Linked DNA regions of Pelodiscus sinensis. The protein of the gene in region 1 interacts with the protein of each later gene in a biochemical or structural test. Links are inferred from orthologs where the notes say so. Each region holds a gene or a part of one and is shown in the gene's direction. Other genes may lie near its edges.

Region 1 (7,221 bases):
AATTTCCAGCAACATTTGGTTTTGTTGGAGAGTGGGATTTACAACTTCCTCACCCACAGTCTGAGCACATCGCTCCCAGCTCCTTCCATCGCTTCAGGGGTTTCCTCTTCTATTCCTAAGCATGTGCTCCTCTGACCACCCTTTCAAGCCTCTGTTCCATTACAACACCACTAGTCTCTTCCTTTAGTTTCCACCATCTCCTCCACCTTGCCCCCTACCTTCTTCCTGCTCCTCTCCTTCCTTGGACTTTTCTCCCCACCCCTCCTCCTGTGAGTCAACAGCCCATGCAATGTATTATGCAGCAGGGAGCCCGCCTCCTTGTTTGTAAAGAGTTGTGTACAGTATTAATGTTACATATATATCTGACTGAAATAATAGTTCCTCTATTTTAGTGGAAACACACGCACAGCTCTATTATGCTAGTGAGAGGAAAATTACCAAGCTGTGTGAAATGTAAAAATTAAACAAACAGGACACCTCGGATTAAAAAATATTCCTGCTCTGATATTCTAAGATGTTATTACTGAGGCAAACAGTATAACTTTTAAATAAGGGGGGTCAAATCCCCAGACTCAAAAGGTGAGGAGGCTGCTACCTGGCATAGTGTCACTGTACCCTCTCCACTGTAAGATCCTGTGTAGAAGACATAGCCTGAGCAACTGCATGTGGCAGAAAAGTCACATGCTTCTGTGATCCCAGACTACTGGGTCAATCCCTTAGGGCTGAGGGTAGCTGACTGCAATTACAGCAAGCCTGAGGCTCCTATAAGTTGTCAGGGCCCACAATAACCCCTCAATTAAGGAGTCACAAAGGCAGAATAAAGATGCCATTGCCCCTCCCGCTGTCTTACATCACGCATGGTTCAGAAAGAGCAGAGGATTTGACTGGATTTTTTTTTTCCTTAACAGCAACACCTTTAAAATAGGAACAGCAGAATTAAATAGATGCCAACTACAGAGGCCTTAAGGCTGACAGCATCAGACTCTTACCACATATGTTTAAAAAAAAAATCAATATAATCATCAGAGTTCAAAACCACCAGTAATTGAAAATGTTACAGACCTCAAGGCTCTGAGGCTATGACTACACTATAGAGCTTAAAGTGGCACTGGTGCAGCTGCACTACTGTAAGCTCTCCAATGTAGTTGCTCTATGGCTCGTGAGTTTAATTTTTCCAGTCCCTGCAAGTCTTGGTAGCAATTCTCTCACTGACACCGTGCCGGTGCTTAAATTGGCATACGTTATGTCTTTCAAGGGGATGTTTAATTCACACAGTCAAGCAACATCACTTCTGCCAATTTAAGCTGCAATGTAGCCTTAGACCCTCCCTGCCACTACACACACTTTGATTGTATGGCTGAAATGTTACATACAATGATTCACCTGGGAAAGCTACTTACTGCTAGTTTCCATTCCATGAGTTTCACTACTTCAGCCCGTGTCAGATATTTTTCTTTCCTCCCTGCAATAGCAACTGGCAGCTCCTCCTGATACCTGAAACAAAAATCCGTTGGTAGACAGAGTCAAAATATTTTCTTGAACCCAGATGTTCATGCTGCTGGAGTTGCAGCTGGTACTGACAGAGCACTGCTGTGAGGAAGCTCATGCTCTGGAAGACCCGGCTGTTACTAATGGAGTTGGGTTGGCAGGGATTTTACACTGAACCGTGCACCTCCTCATACCATAGAGTACAAAAGAAGCCATATTAAATGCTGGAAGATTTACCACTTATCCAACTCGGCAAGTTTTTTCTGCTTGCCTCCTTTGGCTTTGAGTACATCCCAGTAGACACCAAATACTGTCCTCCAGTAGATGGGGTCTTCACAATCATACAACCCTCCTCTTGGTGGCATGTTTCAGAGCTCTGGGACACAAAGATCTACAAGAGAAAGATAAACAAAACTGATGCTTGTAGAAATACAGGGCAGAGACCTTACGGGAAGAAAATGCTGATTCTTGTGTCTGCAAACCCCAAATCCTTCCTCTTCACCTCTTTCACTTTCTATTGGCCCTGTCCGCTTTCTCTCTCCTCTCTCTACTCCTAGCTCTTCACCCACCCTGCTCTTCAGCAGGCCTCTACACCTCTTCACACCTATGGTCCTAAGGCATGGCCTCTAAGCCTGGCTCTCTGCACCCAGGGAATTTGCAACTTTCCTTGATCCATATAAACAACCCCACCCCACATGTCTCTATTTCCCTGCAACACCCTGGGCCTGCTCCTGTCCACTAGTTCCCTTTGCCTTCCAGACCCCCACTCCATGTCCCTGCCCTCCATTTCCCTCCAGTCAGCTCCGTGACCCTTCCATAACCCAGCCCCCTCACCCCCCCAGATCCCCCATCTCAGCCTCCTACTTCATCTCCCTGCCTCCACTTCACCCCCAGCCCCCTGACCCTTTCTGGCTCCCTCCATCTCCCCAGCCCCTGCTAGTCCCCCTTTCTCGCCCCCTCGAGCCCCGCCCTCACGACATCCCCCTGCTCCCTCCCCCTCCATCCTGCCCCTCCGAGCCCCGCCCTCACGACATCCCCTGCTCCCTCCCCCTCCATCCTGCCCCTCCGAGCTCCCCCGAGCCCCGCCCTCACGACATCCCCCTGCTCCCTCCCCCTCCATCCTGCCCCTCCGAGCCCCCCCGAGCCCCGCCCTCACGACAGCCCCCTGCTCCCTCCCCCTCCATCCTGCCCCTCCGAGCCCCCCCGAGCCCCGCCCTCACGACATCCCCCTGCTCCCTCCCCCTCCATCCTGCCCCTCCGAGCCCCGCCCTCACGACATCCCCCTGCTCCCTCCCCCTCCATCCTGCCCCTCCGAGCCCCCCCGAGCCCCGCCCTCACGACAGCCCCCTGCTCCCTCCCCCTCCATCCTGCCCCTCCGAGCCCCCCCGAGCCCCGCCCTCACGACATCCCCCTGCTCCCTCCCCCTCCATCCTGCCCCTCCGAGCCCCGCCCTCACGACATCCCCTGCTCCCTCCCCCTCCATCCTGCCCCTCCGAGCCCCCCCGAGCCCCGCCCTCACGACATCCCCCTGCTCCCTCCCCCTCCATCCTGCCCCTCCGAGCCCCCCCTCACGACATCCCCCTGCTCCCTCCCCCTCCATCCTGCCCCTCCGAGCCCCGCCCTCACGACATCCCCCTGCTCCCTCCCCCTCCATCCTGCCCCTCCGAGCCCCCCCTCACGACATCCCCCTGCTCCCTCCCCCTCCATCCTGCCCCTCCGAGCCCCGCCCTCACGACATCCCCCTGCTCCCTCCCCCTCCATCCTGCCCCTCCGAGCCCCCCCTCACGACATCCCCTGCTCCCTCCTCCTCCATCCTGCCCCTCCGAGCCCCCCCGAGCCCCGCCCTCACGACATCCCCCTGCTCCCTCCCCCTCCATCCTGCCCCTCCGAGCCCCCCCGAGCCCCGCCCTCACGACAGCCCCCTGCTCCCTCCCCCTCCATCCTGCCCCTCCGAGCCCCCCCGAGCCCCGCCCTCACGACATCCCCCTGCTCCCTCCCCCTCCATCCTGCCCCTCCGAGCCCCGCCCTCACGACATCCCCTGCTCCCTCCCCCTCCATCCTGCCCCTCCGAGCCCCCCCGAGCCCCGCCCTCACGACATCCCCCTGCTCCCTCCCCCTCCATCCTGCCCCTCCGAGCCCCGCCCTCACGACATCCCCCTGCTCCCTCCCCCTCCATCCTGCCCCTCCGAGCCCCCCCTCACGACATCCCCCTGCTCCCTCCCCCTCCATCCTGCCCCTCCGAGCCCCGCCCTCACGACATCCCCCTGCTCCCTCCCCCTCCATCCTGCCCCTCCGAGCCCCCCCTCACGACATCCCCTGCTCCCTCCTCCTCCATCCTGCCCCTCCGAGCCCCGCCCTCACGACATCCCCCTGCTCCCTCCCCCTCCATCCTGCCCCCTCATTCCCTCCCCCTCCGAGCCCCCCACTCTCGCCCCGCCCCCTCCCCTCGCCCCCCAGACGCGTTCAGCCCCCCCCGCTCTCACCCTCCCAGCGCCCGCCCCCTCTCACCGGCCCGGCCCCGCCGGAAGTCCCGCGGGCTGCGGGCGGGGCGGAGGCGGGCCGGCCGGGCTGTCGCAGTGCGAGGCCGCTGGGATCCGGCCGGGCCCGCTCGGCAGCGCTGCGGCATGAAGGGGAAGGAGGAGAAGGAGAGCGGCGGCCCGGGGCTGGGCGGCGGCTCCGGCGGCGGGGGGCCGGGCGGGGGGCCCCGGGGGGGCGCGGCGGCCGGGCTGGGCGGGGGCAGCCCCGAGAAGAGCCACAGCGCCCAGGAGCACAAGGAGCAGGGCAACCGGCTCTTCGTCAGCCGCAAGTACCCCGAGGCGGCCGCCTGCTACGGCCGCGCCATCGTGAGTGGGGGGCCGCCGGGGGGAGGGGGGGTGTCGGGAGGGGGCGGGCCGGGGGGGCTGTCGGGCGGAGGTGGGGGGTGTCGCGAGGGGGCGGGCCGGGGGGGCTGTCGGGCGGAGGTGGGGGTGTCGCGAGGGGGCAGGCCGGGGGGGCTGTCGGGCGGAGGTGGGGGGTGTCGCGAGGGGGCGGGCCGGGGGGGCTGTCGGGCGGAGGTGGGGGGTGTCGCGAGGGGGCGGGCCGGGGGGGCTGTCGGGCGGAGGTGGGGGGTGTCGCGAGGGGGCGGGCCGGGGGGGCTGTCGGGCGGAGGTGGGGGGTGTCGCGAGGGGGCGGGCCGGGGGGGGCTGTCGGGAGGAGGTGGGGGGTGTCGCGAGGGGGCGGGCCGGGGGGGCTGTCGGGCGGAGGTGGGGGGTGTCGCGAGGGGGCGGGCCGGGGGGGCTGTCGGGAGGAGGTGGGGGGTGTCGCGAGGGGGCGGGCCGGGGGGGGCTGTCGGGAGGAGGTGGGGGGTGTCGCGAGGGGGCGGGCCGGGGGGGCTGTCGGGAGGAGGTGGGGGGTGTCGCGAGGGGGCGGGCCGGGGGGGCTGTCGGGAGGAGGTGGGGGGTGTCGCGAGGGGGCGGGCCGGGGGGGCTGTCGGGAGGAGGGGGGGGGTGTCTGCGGCCCGGCGGGCGGAGCGGGGCTACAGGACCCTGCTGAGGCCTAGCTCGGAGCTGGGCGGCGCTGCTGGGGAGGGCTGCCCCCCACCGCAAGGGAGAGCCTGTGGGGCTGGGGGGGGCTGAGCTGTCTGGGGGGGCAGTTCCCCTCCGGGGGCGGCGGCTGGGCGGGTTCGCCCCGCATGGGCCGTGCTGCAGGACTCAGTTCCTGCCTTAGCGCTTCTGTCTCCTCCTCACCCCCGCCCGGCTTTGGAAGGATCCAGGCTCCTGTCCCTGCTTCCCCGCAGGCCTCCTCCCTCCCCCCCCTTGCTGTGTTGGTGACAGGGTCTCCTGGGAACAGGTGGCCTGGAGAATGTTTCCCACTCCGGCACACGCAGCCTCTGGATGGGGGCCCAGACTGCTGTCAGCAGCCCACTCGCCATTCAGTGTGGGGAGGGTCAGAGAGACCCTGTCAATCTCTTACCGAAACTGGCAGCAAAAGCAAACAGCTGGGGACGTTGGAAGGTGTATGTGATGCTGAATGGGGTTGCACAGGACACTGGTGATCTCCTAGTCTCTCCACAAAGCACCATATGGGATCTTTAGCCTTACAACTGAAGTACTTGTCAATAGAGCCTTGGTTTCCACTCCCATATCCACTAGGTATGGGCAGGGAGGATCTTAGTTTAAAATGTCATCCAAAGGACTTATTCTACATAATACTGCACTGCGCTGCTAGTGAGCTCTGGCTAGGGCAGCACTTAAACTTGGGATGTGGTCCAGATTACAGGTTTACCAGCAAAGCCATAATCTAGGACTTTCCTGACTATAGCTTTTGGGGATTTGGGTTCCTAAGGGTATGTCCTTTTGGGAATAAAATTCTTTGCTTCTAACATGGCTCTCCCATGGGGATTGTTTTCTCTCTGGCTCTGCAGAACTGAGTTGCACATAGGGCATGCTAATGTTCAGTGATTACTGTTTGGGATGCTTTTCTACTAGGTCTGGCATAGTCTCTGTGCCCCACCTGGTATTTAGCTGAGTCAAGTATTTCCTCTGTTTCGTTAGGAAGATAGCATTACAAAAGCCAGTTTGTGTAGTCTGGCTATTCTATGTTTACTTACACATCCTAAACAAATCTCTGCTCTGTGTTGTCTGTAATACACTCTTCATTTGGGTGACTTTCACCATCTAGCCTGTCTCAATGTAGGATTCATGGTTTTTGTAGTTGGCTATTGTGGTATTGCTTCTTAAGTGTATATTTGTATCTCAACCTGGCTGCTGGTTCATGGTAACTACTAACGCTTGTTAGCTGGTCCATCTTGATAATAGGGGCTGCTGGACTCAGCACGAGCCGGGACTGAGCAGTCCTATAGACTAATTGTGTAGTCTATACAAATTCTGATTAGCTTGGTAACCACAATGTAATATTCCTAGTTGATGAACTTTTAAACAACATACCTTTAGAAAATAGCTAATGGAAATGTACTGGGCAAGATTATGCATCATAAGACTCTTCATTGCTCTAGAAATCCAGGAGTGATCACTTAGCTCTAAGGATATGCTGATTAACATCACTTGTATGCATTTACTGAACAAGCTGTGGTCTGAGAAGTAGTCTAGAACCTTGAAAACTTGGGTTCAGGTTTTGAGTCAGAAGCGAAAATGTGCGTTGGTCTCTTCAGAATCCCCTGTGGATGTTTGTTCACATCATCAAATCACTGCGAAGTGAAGAAATCCAAAACTTGAATAACTGGGGGAGGGGGTAGGTCAAGATTGCAACTCGCCAGTGGAGCTGAGCCAGAGACCCAGGACCAGAATAGCAGGCGCCGCAGGTCAGGACGGTGGTGCGTTATCAGGATAAGTGGAAGTCCAGGGCTAGAACACCGAGGAGCTCATGTGGCAAGGAATGTGGTGAACTGGCAAAACAAGGAGGAAGGATTGGAACTGTCCATGGTGCAGCACATCAAGAAGTGCATTGGCATTTTGTATTTGAAGGCCCAGGGTCTAGGTGACAGAGGTCAGGGTTCTACAGCACTGGCAGAGCTGTGTGGGGGAAGTATGCACTGTTCCAATTTTCATGAGCAAAATAGTTATGCAGTTTAAAATAATTCAGGTCAAGGATTGGGCCTGCACCCAATTACACGTTGCAGGATTTCTGAGCAAAACTGTCCTTTGTGGGCCTATCTCACCTTGTCTGCTGAATAATGAGGAGTCTGTGGAGCTTCTCAAAGGTGTATCTTTCCTCTGGCCCACAGAAGGAAAGCCA
Region 2 (7,077 bases), on another chromosome or scaffold:
GATAAGAGGTGAAGGTGGAGGAGGCAGGACAAAAGAAAACAATGTGCAATGTGACCAGAGTGGCAGAATTTGCACAGAATCAGGCAGTAAGATGCAGTTTAGTATATGAAATATTCAAGACACTAGTAATAGTTAAGAAAATAGTTAACTCTCTTGCAAAAACACTCAGATAATGTGGGATAAAAAGTGGTGGAATAACACTGGTCTGGATGCAACCCAACAAAGATGCTTGTGAGTGCATTTCCTGTCAAATTCTAATATAAATATAATTCTAACATAGATTTTAATATTCACAAATCAAATTAACTCAGTAAACTTGTATCAGTTTATTTGTATATTTACTGTTTATGTATTTCACCACATATTGCAAACTGTCAAAATAAACAATATGCTCATCATGAGAGAAAATCACCATGTTAAATGTGACAAGCTGAATGAATAATGAAAAGTTTACAAATAACCATTAGACTTCAGAGTCAAATTTTGATTTGACTACATTTGTAATGTTGTGGGCTTGCTTTCTGTAGCCATTTGGTCCCTCAAGCTGTAACAGTAATGATCAAGAATATAAGAATGGCCATACTGGGTCAGACCAAAGGTCCATCTAGCCCAGTCTGCCGACAGTGGCCAATACCAGATGCTCCAGAGTGAGGGATCACAACAGGTAATCCTCATGAGATCCCTCCCCTGTCACCCACTTCCAGGGAAATAGAGGCTAGGGATACCATTCCTACCCATCCTGGCTACTAGCCATTGATGGACCTAACATCCATGAATCTATCTAGACTTTTTTTTTAACCCTGTTAAAGTTCTAGCTTTTGCCACATCCTCTAGCAAAGAGTTCCACAGTTTGACTATGCACTGAGTGAAGAAAAACTTTTTTTGTTTGTTTTAAACCTGCTGCCTATTAATTTCATTTGCTGACCCCAAGTTCTTATATTGTGGGAATAAGTAAATAACTTTTCCTTATTCACTCTTTACATACCAGTCATTATTTTATAGACCTCTATCATATCCCCTCTTAGTCTCCTCTTTTCTAAGCTGAAAAGTCCAAGTCTTTTTAATCTCTCTTCATATGGGACATGTTCCAAACTTGTAATCATTTTTGTTGCTCATTTCTGAACCTTTTCCAATGCCAATATATCTCTTTTGAGATGAGGCAACCACATCTGTACACAGTATTCAAGATGTGGGCGTACTATGGTTTTATATAGAGGCAATAAGATATTTTCTGTCCTATTCTCTATCCCTTTTTTAATGACTCCTAACATTCTATTTGCTTTTTTGACTGCCACTGCACAGTGGATGTTTTTAGAGAAGTATCTACAGTGACTCCAAGATCGCTCTCTTGAGTACTTGTAGCCAAATTAGTCCCCATCATGTTGTGAATGCCTGAATATTTGTTAAGGTTTAAAATAGTATAATCAAATGCAACAGCCATGATTTGCATTGTGGTGAATGGACATCTTATGTAACTGAGTGAACAGAAATAATATCAAATGACTTATGAAGCAAACCAACACAATACATGAAATTCAAAGTTCATGAATTTAAAGTATAAAATTAAGTTGGATTCTGAAAGCATGATTGTGCAATGTTGAAATCCATGGTAAAACTATTAACTTTGTTGATGTAGTGTCAGACCCAGTACTATAGCTTTATATAGATAGAATGAATTTAATTCAGTGTGTTGGTTATTGTTAGCAGCTGCTAAATACCACATATAATGGCTGGTCTTCCAGCTGCCTTTTGCACAGTTTTACACAGAGCATCACTCTACTAGTCTATAGGCATAAATGAAGATCCACTGTTCCTCTCTTGCCCTCATGACATGCAGACAGCCCTCCTTTCCTTGCACAGCCCATAAACAGGGCCTTCTAACAGTCCTCAGCATTGGCCCGAAGTGCACATTTAGAATTTGTGCAACCATTTGTGAACCATATGCCAACAGAGAATTTTTCACTGTCTAAATTAGGGAATACTTTAGAACAAAGAGTTCCATAACCTGTTCATGAATAAATTGAGATCTGAAATTTTCTGTACCAACTATTCACTGTTATATTACTCAGTTCTATTGTGACCAACAGGGTTCTTTCCAGTGTGTTCTACTGTTGTTTGTTTTACAGTTGTGCTTTAGGCCTCAGTACAAGAGTAGGGTTCCACTGTGTTAGGCACTTTATAAACAATTCTGAAAAAGACATTATACTAAAATGTCTGTAATCTAGGTTACAGTATTTCACACAAATGAAGTAAATTGGAGAATGGAAAACAGAAAATATATAAATAGTAAATCATGCATAATACTCATTATTCATACTCCCTTAGAATTCAAAAGGTGCTAAAGCTTTAACATAAACATTAGAGTAGGATTATCCAGTGCCACAGTTACAATGCCATGACATTTCAGATGTAAAAGTCTGAAATTGTGAAATTGACCAATTTTAAGACCCTCCCTTCCCCCATGTCCATGAAATTGATCAAAGTGAACCGTGAATTTGGGAGGAACCTACTTTGTTTGTTTTCAACCTGCTGCTTATTATTTTAATTGGGTGACCTTTAGTTCTTGTGTTATGTGAGACGTAAATAACACTTTCCCCATATTATCTGAATTTTATAGCTCTCTATCATATTCTGCTCTTGTTTCTAAAAGGAACAGCCCGTTTTTATAAATCTCTCCTTATTGAAGCTGTTCCATGCCCCTAGATGTTCTCATTGCTCTTTTCTGTACTTTCCCCAATTCTAATATATCCTTTTTGAGAAGGAGTGACCAGAATTGCATGCCATATTCCAGATACTGCCTAGTCAGCCAATTTAGTGGGATCCCTTGGGAAGACCTTGGTCAGCTATGGACTCAATTACCTTGGCTGACCTATTCAGATGGCAACTTCAGTAATAAGACTAGCTCCAATCAGTAAATGGACAAACCTAAACAGCACAGTTGTTTGTTTAAAAAATAAAAGACTTGTTCCATTAAAAGGGAGGGGTGTGCACAAGTACACACAAGATTTTTTTTTTTTTTTAAAAAGCATATAGCTCATAAAATGTCTGGTCATGTGTACTCAAAATCTGTGAATATGTGAATATACATGATGTGCAACACAAAGGACAAGACCACTAGATGATGATGACAGCATTTTTTTCTAGTGTTGCTAAGGGGATGAGATGCCCAGCATCATTCTAGAAACTATCTCAATTATTTGTTTGTGGTAACACAAGCCTCTGGAAATCATGGGATGTCATAGGTGATCTGGCAGATACATTTACACACTCACCCAGACAAATATTAGACCTGATCTGCAACCAACAAGTGTCTACTTCCCCTCTAACCAGGGGATGGTACCACCACCAGCTCAGGCCCTGTTCCCACTCCATCTCTTCCCCAAGCCTGCTCCCCCTCCTCCTCCCAAACACACCCAGTCCCTGCTCCTTTCCTCCCAGAGCCTCCTGCATGCTGAGAAACAGCTGTTTCGTGTATCAGAGGGGTAGCTGTTTCGTGGTATGTCAGATGCACTGAGAGGGGGAGGAGTTAGTTAGTGGGGCTATAGGAGGGTGAGAGATCTTGTCAGCAGATACTGAGCACCTGCTAATTTTTGTCCAGGGCTGAGCACCCCAAAGAGGGGACAGTGCCATAATAACTAGTATCAGACACAGGACTGGTAGCACTTCCTATTATGAAGATTGCCCCACATTTCACCGTGTTTTGAGTTGCATATAACTTCAGCAAAATGTAACTATTTGGGCTGAAGTTATATGCCATTTGCCCTATGTCTGAAGCCGCCTGAAATATTCCAGCTATTTACAAGAACATAAACAAGCCAGACACTGTTTTACCACGTTTAACAAAAATGCAAAGGCTGTTCTTCTCACAAGCTCGAGCACCCTTGCGCTGTGGCTCAGGGGTTTGGGCCGTGGGCGCGGCCTTCCTCTCGGGGCTGCGCTGGACGCTGTCCCCAGTGCAATCCACCCGCCTTTCGCAAACTTACAATTCATGCATTTGACTTATCAACATGTGCACGTGCGCAGTAGAGCCCGTTTCAGCATAATGGACAGTGACACAGTTCTCATGTGACCTCAATGCAGCTTTCCCTGCACGGGGCGGGGGACGGGAGGGGGGCAGGTCGATGCAGGAATCCCACCAGGGTTGCCAGCCCTCCAGGCTGGGCTTGGTGGCTCCGGGGACTAACGATTCCGCTGTAACTGAAGACTGTGCCACAGGAAGAAAGCTGCAGGAATCCGTCCACCCACAACTGGCAACTGCCCATGCTGCCCAGCCCCCGCCTGGAGCCGCTGGGTGCCGAACAGGAGACGGGGGGCAGCCCCGGCTCCCCCGAGGCTCCGCACGCGCAGTGGCCCAGCCGCGCCTGTCGCGCCCCTCCGCCCCTAGCCCCGCCCCGGGCGCGCTCCAGCGGACGGGCCTGCCACGCGCGGCTCCTCCCATCCCGGCCTCGCCGGGCCGGCCTGTGGGCCCCTGCCAGGCGAGGCCGCTACCTAGCGCAGCCGCCACCGCTGATCGCTCGGCGCATGCGCCCTGCCCCTGTTGGTTTGGGGGGCCCACGTGATCTGGCGGGACGCCGCTGCGTCTCTCTCTCTCGCTCTCTCCGGGTCCGGACCGGCGGCGCAGAGGGGAGGGGGGCGGATCCATCATGGCGTCCATGCAGGTGAGGCTCTGGCGGCGGAGTCGGGGCGCCGGGCCGGAGTGGGGAGAGCGGCGCTGCCGGGGTGGCAGGAGGAGCCGCTGGCGGGGTGCGGGACAGCCGGGAGGGCGGCGGTTGGCGCGGAAGCTCTGGCCTCTGGGGTGCCTGTGGGCAGCGCTGGGGAGCCGCCCAGGAAGGGGACTCTGGGACGGGACCTCCCCCCGGAGCGCGAGGGCCCGATAAAGCCCCTGCCTGGCGTGTGAGCGAGCTGTGGCAGACACCCCGCTCCCGGGAAGGGCCGAGTTCGGGTAGGGCCCCCCCCTCCTTGGTGTGTGTGGGAGGAGGCGGGGGCGCTTCACACACTCCCCGGCGGAGCTGGGAAAGGAGAAGAGTCCCCGACCGCCGCCGAGTTCCCTCAAGTGTGAAAGGAATGGCGGGTGTGGTAGAGTCAGCCGGGCTCTTCCTCTTCATTGGGTGCGTGTAAGGATCGTACGGGGTAGGGCACAGAGACTCCCAGAGTGCTCCTAAGGGAGTTTATGAAGATAGGAGGGGGGCATGGCTGCCTGAGGTTGGTGGTGGGTTGCACAAAAAGACAGCCTTGACAGCCGCAGGATTACATTCAACCCTCCCCTATTCGCATCTATAGTAGTAACCTCCCGCCACTTAGTCCACAAGTCCTTTTATCTAAGGACAGGGATAGTGATTCATTTATCCATAAGTATGTTCATTGAAGGATCAGATCACAGCATTCTAGAGGTCTGTAATGCATCCGATTTAGCAGTAAAAGACAGTAGAGGGAAACTGGCTTTTGGGGTTTTTGGGAGAGTGGGGGATAAGGGAGGATCTGTCTCTTGGGACTCTCTTGGTCAGATTATCCTAAATTTGGATCACCAATGCTGCTCTGTACCCCTACAAGGCACACCACGTTTCAAAGCATTATCATTAACCATTTGGAGTATAGTATCAGAGGGGTAGCCGTGTTAGTCTGAATCTGCAAAAGCGACGAGGAGTCCTGTGGCACCTTATAGACTAACTGAAGTGTAGGAGCATTACACTCCTACACATCAGTTAATGCTCCTACACTTCAGTTAGTCTATAAGGTGCCACAGGACTCCTCGTCATTTGGAGTATAGCATACTTAGAACCTTATAGCATATCAAATGGCAGGAGTGGAAATCATGTAGCTGTTTTTTCTGTATTGGCATATGCACAGTGTAAAAATAGACACTTTCTTAACTACTGTTCTCAAATTGGGTTTCTATAGTGAATGCTATGCACTATCTTGGATAAAAATTGAGTTGAGACCATTTTGACCCCTAGCGTAGTACAGCCGCTTCCCAAGTTACAACCATCCGCACTTACGACCAAAGCGGTCGTAAATGCGGATCTGAGTTATGAACAGCGCGGTCACCGTGTAACTATGGGATCTGAGTTACGAACACTTCAAGTTACGGACCAAGTGTTGGTCCGTAACTTGTTCGTAATCCTGGGGAGCAGCTGTAATAGTTTGCTCTCCACGACTGGGCAAAACACCGTCACATAGAAACTTTTTTTAAAATGGCTATTTTTGGAGGGGACTTATATTTCTGGATCTCCTGACTCAGATGACTCCAAATTTGGGTCACTAACTCTTCAACCTCCAGAAAGAAACAGCATTTCAGAGAGATCCTTGTTTTTAGATGATGTAGAAACATTAATGTTTAAACAGGTGTCATGAAGTAACCTTAACTATAGCGCTTCTACACCACTACTCAGACAACAGAGAAGGTGTACAAACTGGAACATTACACGTGGTGTTATACTGATATTTATCTTTAGGGTTTATAACTAGGAATGACATGAATAAATGCAAAAATAATTATAATTAAGCTAGAAAATTTTATGGATGAAATTTTATTAGATTCTGAAATAGTCCCCCCCAAGAAAGTAATGGAAGTCCAGTTTACGTGACGTTTTAAAAAAGGCTGGGTAAAGCACTTAAGGACATACCATATCACATAGTCGTATTCTATAAGACTTGCATGCCACATTGTTTCTGCTGTTTGGTCTTTATTTAATATTTAGAATTCTTTATGCAGCCTGGTTTTGACTACAAAATATTATGTTCCCCAAAGTTTCTGTTAAAAGAAACTCTTGTAGGTGTGTATAAAAACTGTGTGGAAGAGACTGTTGTGACACTTTAAGACAATACTACAGGTAGCTGGGGTTTGAGAGGCCTGTGTTTGTCACTGATCTTTGTTGTGTTCTTGTACAGCTTATTTCACATTTGTTTCTCAGTTTGTCTCTGTAAAGGGAGATGACTGCTGCCTATCTGAAGCACTTCAAGATTCACAGAAAAGTGCTATCTAAGAGCTATCCGGTATTAATAATGTTTTATCTAATGTCTGTTTCTTGGACAAGATAGCAGTGGGAAGTAAGGATGTTAAGAAGAGGGTAATTGAAT

What was found. The genes of interacting proteins can lie anywhere in the genome.
Region 2: the proteins of STUB1 (region 1) and UBE2W form a complex in vitro, tested with the Homo sapiens proteins (7 studies listed by BioGRID, with this or other methods). The link is inferred for Pelodiscus sinensis from reciprocal best matches to the Homo sapiens genes STUB1 and UBE2W.

What each region holds. Positions count from the first base shown.
Region 1 is NC_134726.1:5,342,820-5,350,040, reverse strand, and holds the start of STUB1 (E3 ubiquitin-protein ligase CHIP), read left to right. Parts: upstream 1-4,112; coding exon 4,113-4,331; intron 4,332-7,221. Other genes in the region: uncharacterized protein LOC102443902, read right to left, coding at 1,401-1,494, 1,726-1,853. UniProt on the Homo sapiens protein: E3 ubiquitin-protein ligase which targets misfolded chaperone substrates towards proteasomal degradation.
Region 2 is NC_134712.1:53,656,825-53,663,901, forward strand, and holds the start of UBE2W (ubiquitin-conjugating enzyme E2 W), read left to right. Parts: upstream 1-4,047; 5' UTR 4,048-4,643; coding exon of another isoform or gene 4,644-4,658; intron 4,659-4,725; exon of another isoform or gene 4,726-5,108; intron 5,109-7,077. UniProt on the Homo sapiens protein: Accepts ubiquitin from the E1 complex and catalyzes its covalent attachment to other proteins.